3 linked regions of the Cricetulus griseus genome follow. The protein of the gene in region 3 binds, or shares a complex with, the protein of the main gene of each other region. Links are inferred from orthologs where the notes say so. Each region holds a gene or a part of one and is shown on either strand. Other genes may lie near its edges.

Region 1 (3,643 bases), on a different chromosome or scaffold from region 3:
GCCCCAGGGGTCTACTGTGTGCCACTAGCCCAGCTTTTTGTGGCTTTGGGGACTGGAACTCAAGACAAACACTTTATCTTCTAAGCCATCTCTCAGCTGCCCCATTTTTTTCTTTATCACAGAGTACTTTCTCTCTAGACCTATTTCCTGTGTTGTAAGTGGTTTTTGCTGATTTCTCAAAAGTGTCTGGTCCCAATATGACTGTCACTACTGCCTTTGTTTTCATCGTCACTTCCCTCCTATTTTCACAGTCACTGACTGAAGTGTCCAGAGGGGGAATTGTAGTCAGTCAGCTTTGGTTAACTGTGAGGTTTCTATTGAATAGCCGCTTTGTTGGAGATGCTTGATGAGTCACATGGTATTTTCTAAGTGTTTGAGAGGAGTCAGACAGCACCGTACACATGGAGTTGCAATGAAGAAACTTAGATTGGAGGCTTTGTAAGTGGCCATGTAACAGAGGTGACCATGAGGAGGGAACAGGTGGTTTAAAACTTTTACCAAAAAATTTGTGAGCCAGAGTCAGCACTAAGGAGGAGGAAATGGAAGGACCACTGCATTTGAGGCCAACCTGATCTATGGAGTAAGTTCTAGGCCAGCCAGAGTTATACATCAAGGTCCTTTCTCAAAACAACAGTAGCAGCAGCACCAACAGACAACCCTCCCACCAAGATGTGTGTGATTAGACTGCCTGCATTCTCCTGTTTTGCCCTGGTCCTCCTGATCAATGAACAGCCAGGGATTTATGGAACAGCCACCATGAGCTCAATGGGGACACCCACAATGTTAAGTGACACTAGATCATGCTTATTAAATAGCCATCAGACACTGTACATTTAAACTGTTGTGAGTGATTTTGTGTTGAAAATAAACCCGCAGGTAGAGTTAGGGATATCATTCCCCCCACTACCAGGAGATTGAGGCATACATTGGAGCACTCACGGTATTGAAGAGGAAGAGTCAGAATTCAGACTACTGTGATCAGCGCTATTTCCTGATTCTTACTCTCAAAATACCCCTGGGAAATAACTCAGAACTGGAAAAGCCGGGAAACACCAGGATGTAACAGCAGTTGAGCTTTGACTGAACTGATAATTCATAAGTAGGAGTATTATCTCTCCTCCCTAAAAAAAAAACCCTCCAGAATTTTCAGGAACTGAAACACTTGACCTTTAATATGATTATAAATTCTGGGATTCAAAGGGTCTACTTTTTTTTTTTTTTTTTTTTTTTTTTTTGCCACGGGGTTTCAAAAAAAAAAAAAACAACTCTGTAGCCATGGGTGTCTCTTAGAACTCACCAAGTGCTGGGATTAAAGGTGTGCACCATCCCAACCCAGCAGATCTGTTACTTTTTTTTTTTTTTTTTTTTTTTTTTAGTTCAAATTAGAAAAAGCTTGCTTCACATGTCAATCCCTTCTTCCTCTTCCTCCCCTCCCCCAACTCCCCACTGTTACTTTTTTTTGTTGTTATTTTTTTTCTAGACATAGTTTCTCTGTGTAACTTTGGCGTCTGTCCTGGAACTTGCTTTGTAGACCAGGCTGGCCTTGAACTCACAGAGATCTGCCTGCCTTTCTTTGCCTCCTGAGTGCTGGGATTAAAGGTATGCACCACCCCAATCAAGTGGATGTGTTACTTTTTACCCCTGGTAATTCTTGCCTAAATGTCTGCAGTCTAGGCATAAGAGGTGATTTTTGTGTGTGTTGCTGGGTATTGTACTCTGAGCTTCATCTGTGATAGTAAGTGCTCTGTCATGGAGCTGTATTCCCAGACCTGGGACCTAGACCTTGCAGACCAATACAGTATTTCTCTAGCACCATGAAGGCTTTTGTCCCAGTTCTATATAATGAATGCAGCCAGTTGCTTCTCATTCTCTTTCAAGACTTACTCAGATTGCTTTTCTGTTTCTGTTAAAGACGTCAGAGTACCATGATATCATGTATCCTGCGTGGACATTTTGGGAAGGGGGCCCTGCCGTGTGGCCACTTTATCCTACGGGTCTTGGACGGTGGGACCTCTTCAGAGAAGATCTGCTAAGGTAGGTTCTTTGGAGCGGTTTCGTTTTTCCCTGTCTGTGAGTTTTGTTTTGTTTTGTTTTGTTTTGTTTTGTTTTGTTTTGAAGTAAGCTGCAGTAGATAGTTAAGAATGTAAGATCACTGCCTGAGCTGGGGAGATGGCTCAGTTGGTAAGAGTGCTAGCTGTGCAGTGAGGATGTGAGCCTGGATACGGAGCATCCATATAAAATTCAGGCACGGTTGTATATAGGGAGACAAGGAGATGTTCAAGTTGGACACCCTTTCCACATGACTTTAGGGCTTAGCCGGAATAGACATAGTTAGGATGTGCAATAGCAGATTATTGTATCTTCTTGTATTTCACCTTTATGATTGTTAATTTTGGATGTTTTACACTATTAAGTTTTAATCCTCTTTTAGACTAAAAGGGGAATTATAGGGAGACACTGTAGCCCCACCTCCTAGGAACCGCTACAGGTGTGCTTGGCTATGCCCGCGAGGGCATGGTCAGGGGAGGTTAAAGATGACTCGTGGGGAATTCTTAAGGAAAGGACAGACGTGGGAATGGTCTCTTTTCTGGGCTCCCTAGCCTGCTGCCTGAGGGTACTCTCTCCAGCTTGTGTTTATCTGAATAAAGACATCCATATACCAATAGTTGTATGCACCTGTAACCCCAGTGTTCTTGGGGTCAGAGACAGATGGATCCTGGGAGCTTACTGGCCAGCTAGCCTAGCAAAAATGGTGAGAGACCTGTCAGTGAAAGACCTGTCTCAAGGGACTAAAATAAAGACCAACATCTCATGTCTTCTTCTGGCTCCAATATATACTCACACTGGTGACTGCACATGCGTGCACACGCGTACACACATACTATTAAAGTCAGGAGAATGTTGCATAGCAAAAGCAGTTCTGTGTGTTTCTGTGTGTGAATAATAATCCGTGTTGGGCCTAAGGATAGAGCTCAGTTGGTAGAACAGTTGCCTAGCAGGTGTGAAGCCCAGGGTTTGACACCCAGCACTGCATAAACTGGTCCTGGTGGCTCATGCCTGTAATCTCAGCCCTGGGGAAGTGGAGGTAGAATCACAAGTTCAAGGCTAACCTCAACTATGTGGTGAGTTTGAGGACAGCCTGAAAATCCTAAGCCCCTGTCTCAAAATTTAAAAATCCCTGTCAAAAAGGTCAGAAGACTTCATCCTAAATTGTCAGCAGTGCCTCCAAGGGAAGGGCTCTAAGAGTCTTTAAGTTTTTTTAAGATCATTTTTTATTTCATTTGTTTGTGGTTTGCATATGTATCACATGCACACTAGGGGCTTCCTAGTTAGAAGAGGACATCAAATGCTCTGGAACTAAGAGCTGCCATGTGAGCACTGGGAACTAACCCAGGTTCTCTTTAAGAGCACCAAGTACTCTTGACCACTGAGCCATCTCTCCAGCACCATTTTCTCTAAAATGTTCATATTTTAAATATTCCCCAAGAGAGAATTAACTCCTTTTTTGAACACAGGATCTCACTCAGTATACCATCCTGGCCTGGAACTTGTTATGTAGTTCCCAGGCCAGCCTCAAACTCAAGCAATCCTCCTGTTTGACTCTCTCAAGTGCTGGGATTACAGGCATGAGCCACCATACTCC
Region 2 (3,643 bases), about 79 Mb from region 3:
AAGAACACAAACCAGAAGAAGGAGTTAGAAGTGGACTGTGGCCTGGACAAGTCCAATTGTGGCAAACCGCAGAACCACACATTGGATTATAATCTGGCTCCAGGACCCCTCGGGCGGGGAGCCATGTCTGGGAAGTATCTTCACAGTGACAAGAGCTTAGGAGAGAAGGTGCCACTTCGGTTACACAGGTAAGCCATACTTGGAAGCCAGGGCGTGTCTATGGACCCTTACATAGTTTGACTGTGTCTCCCAGGCTGAGTGGGAGACTGTCATCAGGCCCTGACTGCTTTTAAACAGTAGGGATGTGGTACGAACAACAAGGCATCCCAGCTGCATTTCTGTAGGGAGTCAGGCACATACTTGTAGTCCTAATTACTTAGGCTGAGGCAGGATGATGGCAAGTTAGATGCCATCCTGGTTAACACCGCACAGCATGTCTCAAAAACAAAACGAAACAGCTCAGAAGGTAAATGTGCACACTACCAAGACTGAAGACCTGAGTTTGATCCCTAGGACCCATGTGTTAGAAGAGGAGAACAGATTTCTGAAAGCTGCCCTCTGACTTCCACAATGGTGCGGTGACAGGCACATATGCACACACATGTGTATACACACACACGTGTACACACACATGTGTACACACACACACACACAACGATTTAATTTTTTGTTTTGTTTTGTTTTTTTGTTTTTTGAAACAGGGTTTCTCTGTGACTTTGGAGGCTGTCCTGGACCTTGCTCTTGTAGACCAGGCTGGTGTCAAACTCACAGAGATCCACCTGCCTCTGCCTCCTGAGTGCTGGGATTAAAGGCATGCACTACCACTGCCCGGCCAATTTAATAATTTTTTAAGAATTCTTCTAGGGAATTTTTATTTTTAAAATGGGGTTTCTCTGTAGAAACCCCAGGGCTGTCCTGGAACTTACTCTGTAGACCAGGTTGGCCTTAAACTCAGAGATCCACTTGCCTCTGTCTCCCGAGTGCTGGGAATAAAGGTGTGTGCCACCACCGCCCAGATTCTTCTAGGGATCCATTACTAGAAGCCCTCTCGCTCATTCATTCATTCTTCACTCCCAAATACCAACTGTCTACAGGGTATCTCTTGTGACTTCCATCTTTCTACAGTATGGCTTCTCTCTAGTGGCAATATTCGCTTTTTCTAGTGGCCACATGACTTTTCTGGTTTGGTTGAGTCTGGTGGCTCTCTTAAGGGGCCTGTTCTGAAGGTCAGCATTGAGCATCCCCGGCCTACATCATTCTGAACCACTGCAGTACATACCCTTTAACTCTCTGGGATCTAGATTAGCACCTCATTGCATTTCCAGGCTCCCCTCCTCCCTCTTCCTCATTCTTACCTGCCTGTCTTGTGTTCCTTCAGTGAAAAGCCAGAGTGTCGAATATCAGCGATATGCTCCCCCAGGGACTCCATGTACCAGTCAGTGTGCTTGATATCAGAAGAGAGGAACGAATGTGTCATTGCCACAGAGGTGAGTTCTGGGCTGGCCTTCTCTGTCAGCATGTCCCCTCCTGCCTTGTGTGGATGGAAAAAAATGCCCTGCTTACCAGCAACCTCATGCCTGAAGGGGTGGGCTCTTAGGTCCCCTGCTGGCCTTATTGCCACAGAGGGTGTGAAACAAGAACTAGGTGGTATGCCTGACCTGGCAGCTGCACCAATGAAAGGGACAGAATTAAGGAGCCAGGGGAACCTCTGGTAGAGCTAGGAAGGACAGCCATGGTACTGGCTACCTTTCAGGAACTGTTTCCCACTTGCATTTGGGTGAAGACAGTTGATTGTGTCTACCTGTTCCTTGTCACTGGCTTCCTCCAATGTATTCCCACATTAGTGCAAACTCCCAGACACTTGTTGTCTTAGGGAAGAAGACTAAGGGGACTGCCCCTCCCTCAGTGACTTCTCCCAGAGAGGCCCAAAGCATTCCGGAGACAGTGCCTATCCCCAAGATGACCATTTCCCCATTTTGTTTGTGCTCCCCAGGTATAAGGCACGAGCCTACCCAGACACCCAGCTTCGGCCCAGCAGCTGGGTCTTCCTTCTGCATTGTTTACATTGCATCCTGGATGGGACGTCTTTAGTATGCACAGTGCTGCTCTGAGGAGGAGGAGGAGGAGGGAATGGCATGAACTGGACAGACTGTGAACCTGCCAAGAGTTGCACCACCTCTGCATGCCTTCAGGAGTCTGCCTGGCTTCAGATGGGCAGCCCTACCAACAAGGGAGAGAGCTGAGGAACCAGAGGACATCAGTTGAGCTGATACCTAAGGTGCCACTTGGACTTGCTCTGCCAACAGTGGCCATCATGGGGCTCTTGACTGTTCTTCAGAGAGAAGTGGTGGCCCTAGTAGGTCTTGGAGCTGCTGTAGCTCCCATGGGCATCTGTGTTTCCAAAGTGCCTTTGCCCAGGCTCCATCATGACAGCTGGGTCCAAATGAGGGAGGAGAGATGAGGCTTGCAAGGAATGGGCCTCCTGTAGGCAGGAAAGCTTTGGAGTTTGGCTTTTGTTAGGAGCTACCCTGTATGTGACGTGAGAGAAGTGGTTCCTGCCCCCATCCACAGCATGGGGGGCGCCAGCTAGCCTGGACCCTCTGGGCAAAAGTTGGTAGATCGCCTCTCACTGGTCCTGGGGCCTCTGGGCTTGTGTGAACAGATGGGCTTAGGGCCTGCCTCTTTTGCCAGCTAGGGTTTCAGGCCTAACTGGGGAGCTGAGGGCCATCATGTTAAAATTCCACTGAGGGAGATAGCGGGTGCTGCTGTGGCCTAGGCCCTTTCCTCCCTGTGCCCATTTCTGTGCCCTTGAGCCTGGGCTCTATCAGTGCCCACTGCTGCCCCAGACCACCCTTGAAGCCGATCTTCAGAAATCAATAATATGAGGTGTTTTTTTGTAGTTTATTTTGGAATCTAGTATTTTGATAATTTAAGAATCAGAAGCACTGACCTTTCTACATTTTATAACATTATTTTGTATATAATGTGTATTTATAATATGGAATAGATTGTACAGGAATTTATTACTTCTTGGGTCCTGTCTTTGTAATGGTGGAGTGGGAATCTTTTCCCTGCCTTCCCACCCCAAATAGTCGGAAGCCCCAGCTCTTGAATGCCCTCCTGGACCCCCTCGGGCCTTCGCACACTTGGGTTTGGCATTTTGTATGGAAGGCCTGTGTCTCAGTCCGATCTTTGGAGAGCCTAACCTCATCCATCTCATCCCCAGCCTAGGCCAACCTTCCAAGCCTAGTGACTTTGAGACTGGGTGCCATTATCCCACTTTATGCTCCCACCATTCCATGGGGCTATCTTTCCCCTGACTGGAATCTCTCTCTACTTTCCCCCAAGTCTGAGAAGAAGAATGGGGGCCTTGATCTTCTCCTACTGAGGAGGACTCTCTCTCATTACTTATTCAAAAGGACTCTTATTAGATCAGGAGCTAAGTCCTGTTCCATCTGGGCACTTCCTCCTACACTAGCACCTGCTGTTTTCCCAGTACTAGTGTGGAACTGACCTGAAATGGAGATGGGTAGGGGCTTTGCCCTGGGCTTTGTCTTTCTCGAAGCTGGACAGAGATGAGGGGATGAATGAGTGAGGCTACAAGGAGTCGGGGGATCAGAGCTTCCCTGAGCCTGGGTTGCTC
Region 3 (4,227 bases):
CAGGAGAGGGGGCTGGACAATGGGTCTGCATTGGCCCTCTTGAGTGCCCTCTAGAAACAGGTGTGTCAAGGGCAATGGGTAGGGCTGCAGGAGAAATGAGCACACTTCTGTATCCCTGGGCAAGGACTGCCTTCCAAATTCTGAATTCCCAAATTCCTTTGACTTTCCTGTCTCAGTATTCTCCTGCCAGGTTCCAGCAAGCATTTAAGGCCCCTTTATGCATTCCCCTGCTCTGAGAGCCTCCTTGGATAATATAAGCTGGGGCTGTATCCTGTGTTGCACTCACCATCCTGTTTAGGGATGGAGAGGTGCTGTCCATTCCAGATTCCATTGAACTTTGATTGCACAGGGACAAGGAAGGCATCTTGGACACCCAGAGCTAATCAGCTTGTCACAGGATGTCCAAGTCTAGCACCAAGGTGGAGAGATAACTGGTCAAAGAAAAGCACGTGAGAGAGGCTGTGCTGGTGTTAGCAGTTATTGTACTGGGATTCTGTACTTTCCCGGGTCACCTTAAATGGGCAGAGCCAGGAACCAGTGAAAAGAGTGACAATGGAGCGTCTAGACTCCTTCTGGGGAGCGAGAGCGCAATTTGTTCAGAAAGGCACTGGCCCTTTGGGGAGTTCCCTTGGGGAGCCCCGAGCTCCGTTCTGTAGAGGCTGCAGGCGCGAAGACATTATCCTTTAAGGTCAAGCGTTCCGGAAGTCGCGGCTAGGGGTGCCTGGCCTCAATCATCCAGATGCCTAAAGCCGAGACCAAAGGCTCCCAAAAGTGGGACCCCAGGGCCAGGGATGCACCCAACGTAGTCAGGGAGCAACTTCTAAAATCCTGCTCCGGGAGTTCCCCAAACTTGGCTTCAGCTGCTCCTAGCCCTGGGCCCAGACCTAGCTCCAGGATGGACCCGATTCTCGTGGCAGCTTCGCCTTTCCTACTCAGCCCAAATCTCTTCGGCTATTGAAATGCAAATCCTGGCCAAAAGGTCCCGAGGGAGGCGACACACAAAGCCTGATCCTTCCGCATCCCCAGCTCAAACTTTTGGTCTCTGTAAACTTTCGAACAAGAAGTAGTCCCTAAGTGCCTGTTCTCTACACCCCTGCATGTTTCCTTGTCTTGCAAACCACAGGGTCCTGGCTTGGGACGCTCTCTCTAGCCCGAGAAGGCGCAGAGCCCACCAGGGCGCTGGGAGGGACAGGGCCAACGAAGGGGCTTTGAGTGCTCAAAAACCGGGGGCGGAGCGCGGTGGGATGGGCGGGGCAGGGGCGGGCCCCCACGGGGGCGGAGCGCACGGCCGCCCTGAGCCTCACTAGTGCCTCGGCCGCGGGAGGGAGCGCAGGGGCGTGGGGCGCAGGGCGCGGGCGCTAGGCGCGGGTGCGAGCGCAGTGAAGGAACGACCCGGGGTGCCTCGTAGCGCTGGGGAGACCCTGAGAGCCCAGCGCCGCCCACCTGCCAGGAAGGAGAGGGCAGCAGTAGGTGGACGCCCGCGGGACCGCCGGTGGTGAGCGTAAACGTCCGATCCCCGCCGGCCACCGCAAGAGGCCGCCGCCCGGGCAGCGGGCAGCGGGCGAGCAGGCATGCCGCGGCTTCTGGCGCCCTTGCTCTGCCTAACGCTGCTGCCCGCGCTCGCCGCAAGAGGTAGGCGCCTGCGAGCCCGCAACTTCGCGCGCCCTTCGGAAACTTCGGCTGCGCCTTGCGCGCGCCCTGGGTGGATGGGAGTGAGGGCACCAGCTACCAAAGTTGGGAGAAGGAGCCGGCGGACGGGACTTGGGGGCCTGGCGTCCTCGCGTGTGAGGGAGATCCTTCTCCTCAGCCCCCCTTCCGGGTGGATTCGCTTTACCCAGAACGCCCGAAAATGTTGGAAGCTCGGTGTGGAGCTTGGGACTTCGGGGCCCCGGGAGGCTCAACCCTGGCTCGCACTTGGGCAGCCGCGCCTGGGGCTCGCCGCGGGGGCGGACAGGCTGCCTGCGCCTGCTACTTTTCGATTTGAATCGAATCGGTTTTGGTTTCCTGTTGCTTCTTGGGACTATTATTTTCTTTCTTCTTCGCCTCTGGTCTGTGCTTGGGCGGATGTTGGGGCTCTGTGTTCGCCTTGCTTAGCGCGAGGTGGGGGCGATGTGCCCTGGACTCCCAGTGCCCAGTTTCGGGATCGCTGTCCCCTAGCGGTACTCAAACTTTCAAAGAGGGGCTATGGGCAGGCGGCTTGCTGCTTAGGGTTGGGGTGGGACTCACTCACTTTGGAAGTTTGAGACTCCTGCTCAGGCAGAGACTGGAACCTGCGGGGAGGGCCGGGGGGCCGGGGGGCCGGGGGGCCGGGGGACCGCCTATTTCCTTGCAGGATTCACAGAAAGGGGGACTCCTGAGGAGTCTCGTAGTGACCAACTGCACCCGTCTCCCAGTAATTGGAGGGGAGAAGTGCCTGCCCTTCTCTTAAAAGTGGGTTTTATGTGACACTCCAGCTCGGCCCTCACACCAGGGCTTAATTTCTGGAGCTCCTTAAGATGGGGGTGGGAGGGGCTTGATTAAGAGCCCTTTCCTGAGAAGAGGGTAGAATTCCTTCCAAGTGCGGGCTCTAAGACCCCCTCCCTGGGTGCGGCGGGGGCTGCCCCTGGAGATGCCTGCGAACAGGTATTGGGTGTCGGAGGAGGCGGGGCAGGTCTCCGGGTGCGGCCCCGCTGCCCCAGGAGGCGGCCCTGGCGCGACAATGGGCCGCTCTGATTCCCGGGCCGGCGCTTTGTTGGAGGGCGGGGTGGCGGGCTCCGCAGCTGTCGCTTTTTCCCACGATCGGGGGAGCTGAGTGTGGCCGCCCCCTCCCTCCTGCAGCCCCCTCGTATCTTGTGTTTGAACTGAGGCAAGGGTGGGAGACTGATCGGGGGCTTTGCTGGGTTTCTTAATCCACACCCACTTTTGGCTGTGTATGTAAGAAGTTTAGAATGTCCCAAGTCATTCAGTTCTTTCTGTTGCGGTCCACTTCTAGTGAGTGGGGATGTACACCTGCCTCCTACCCAGCTTATTATCCCTCTTCCACCCATTTCTGACTGCAACAGTGCGAGCAGAACATTGATCCCCGAAGGGCTGCCCATTGTCACCACCCCCGCCTGGCGACTTCCAGTAACTCTAGTACACAAGCACCAAGGCAGTAGTCTTCATCCACCATCAGGACCACAAGGAGTCAGCTGCTCAGAACCCAGACTGACCTCTCTTCTGACCCTTCCCTAGGCTTGAGATGCTCCCAGCCAAGTGGGACCTGCCTGAATGGAGGGAGGTGCGAAGTGGCCAACGGCACCGAAGCCTGTGTGTGAGTACCGCCCCCGAGGGGACCTGTTGCTTTTGTCAGAGCAGAGCCCCTGCCTTCTGGGGACAGAACACTGGGCCATTGTCTTCAGAAGACAGCCCAGAGGCTGAGTGCAGTCACGTGCTGACTTTTATTGGACAAAGTCTGGCAATTACTTAATCACCAGCAATTATGCCTCGTGTGGAGCTACTCTGGCCCCTGGAGGTTGGCACACTCCTCCATGGGCCCCCTCAGGCTCCTGGGAATCCATGGTACCCTAATTCTTATTTAAAATGCTTGAGAAACCGTTGTCTTTGATGGGCAGTCTGGAGCACTTACTGAGAGTTTGAGCCCCACCCCCTGACACCTGGGAGCCCTCTTCTGGGCAGGAGACCAATAAGCAGGAAGTTGCCCCTTTTTTGTTGTTTTGTTTGTTTGTTTCTAGTTTTTGCTTTCTTGGGACAGGGTCTCACTATGTGACTCTGGCAGCCCTGGCATTCACTATGCAGAGACCTTTGACTCAAGAGATCTGCCTGTCTCTGCCTTCCAAGTGGGAATGCCACCACTAGCTGGTGGGAAGTGTCTGTTTTAAGATGAGACCCACCCCTCCTTTCTCCTTGGGTTCAAGGTGAGGTTGGGAGAGTTGGAACGGTGCTTGTTGGCACTGCTGCCTGGGTGGTGGGTGTGGGTAAGCACTGGAGTCTGGTTTCTCTCTTGGCAGCTGCAGCACCACCTCCCGACTCTATGCCAGAGGTCCTCAGCCTCAGGTCCTCAGCTGTGAAATGGGCGTGACTTGGGGGGGTGGGAAGGTCTGTTCCTTGCTGGGAAATCCTTTTGGGAAGGATCCCTGCCTGGCTGCCCACAAAGACCAGTCAGCCAGGAGAAGTCTCCACTGGGGCTGGAGCTAGGGCTAGGGCTAGGGCTAGTGCCCTTCAACTTGAGCTCCTCCCTGATGAGAC

Evidence for each region.
Region 1: the proteins of Notch1 (region 3) and Poglut1 are in contact, whole or in part, in a crystal structure (PDB 5UB5), measured with the Homo sapiens proteins. The link is inferred for Cricetulus griseus from reciprocal best matches to the Homo sapiens genes NOTCH1 and POGLUT1. Residues at the interface, in NP_060087.3 of Homo sapiens: Asn454, Glu455, Cys456, Val457, Asn459, Pro460, Cys461, Gln462, Asn463, Asp464, Ala465, Cys467, Gly472, Glu473, Phe474, Val485, His486; in NP_689518.1 of Homo sapiens: Met103, Phe104, Pro105, Ser106, Arg107, Asp133, Gly170, Pro171, Ala172, Val173, Trp174, Pro178, Thr179, Gly180, Thr214, Asn239, Gln240, Ala241, Val274.
Region 2: the proteins of Notch1 (region 3) and Dll4 are in contact, whole or in part, in a crystal structure (PDB 4XLW), measured with the Rattus norvegicus proteins. The link is inferred for Cricetulus griseus from reciprocal best matches to the Homo sapiens genes NOTCH1 and DLL4. Residues at the interface, in NP_001099191.1 of Rattus norvegicus: Glu415, Leu418, Ala420, Asn421, Pro422, Glu424, His425, Phe436, Pro447, Arg448, Glu450, Ile451, Asp452, Leu468, Asp469, Gln470, Ile471, Ile477; in XP_006234827.1 of Rattus norvegicus: His65, Thr76, Phe77, Asn109, Phe110, Thr111, Pro113, Tyr180, Ser186, Arg187, Leu188, Lys190, Arg192, His195, Phe196, Tyr199, Lys216, Tyr217, Asp219.

What each region holds. Positions count from the first base shown.
Region 1 is NC_048597.1:51,600,939-51,604,581, forward strand, and holds part of Poglut1 (protein O-glucosyltransferase 1), read left to right. Parts: intron 1-1,912; coding exon 1,913-2,034; intron 2,035-3,643. UniProt on the Homo sapiens protein: Dual specificity glycosyltransferase that catalyzes the transfer of glucose and xylose from UDP-glucose and UDP-xylose, respectively, to a serine residue found in the consensus sequence of C-X-S-X-P-C.
Region 2 is NC_048599.1:59,141,204-59,144,846, reverse strand, and holds part of Dll4 (delta-like protein 4), read left to right. Parts: coding exon 1-188; intron 189-1,378; coding exon 1,379-1,487; intron 1,488-3,643. UniProt on the Homo sapiens protein: Involved in the Notch signaling pathway as Notch ligand. Activates NOTCH1 and NOTCH4. Involved in angiogenesis; negatively regulates endothelial cell proliferation and migration and angiogenic sprouting. Essential for retinal progenitor proliferation.
Region 3 is NC_048599.1:137,892,558-137,896,784, reverse strand, and holds the start of Notch1 (neurogenic locus notch homolog protein 1), read left to right. Parts: upstream 1-1,319; 5' UTR 1,320-1,571; coding exon 1,572-1,632; intron 1,633-3,213; coding exon 3,214-3,292; intron 3,293-4,227. UniProt on the Homo sapiens protein: Functions as a receptor for membrane-bound ligands Jagged-1 (JAG1), Jagged-2 (JAG2) and Delta-1 (DLL1) to regulate cell-fate determination.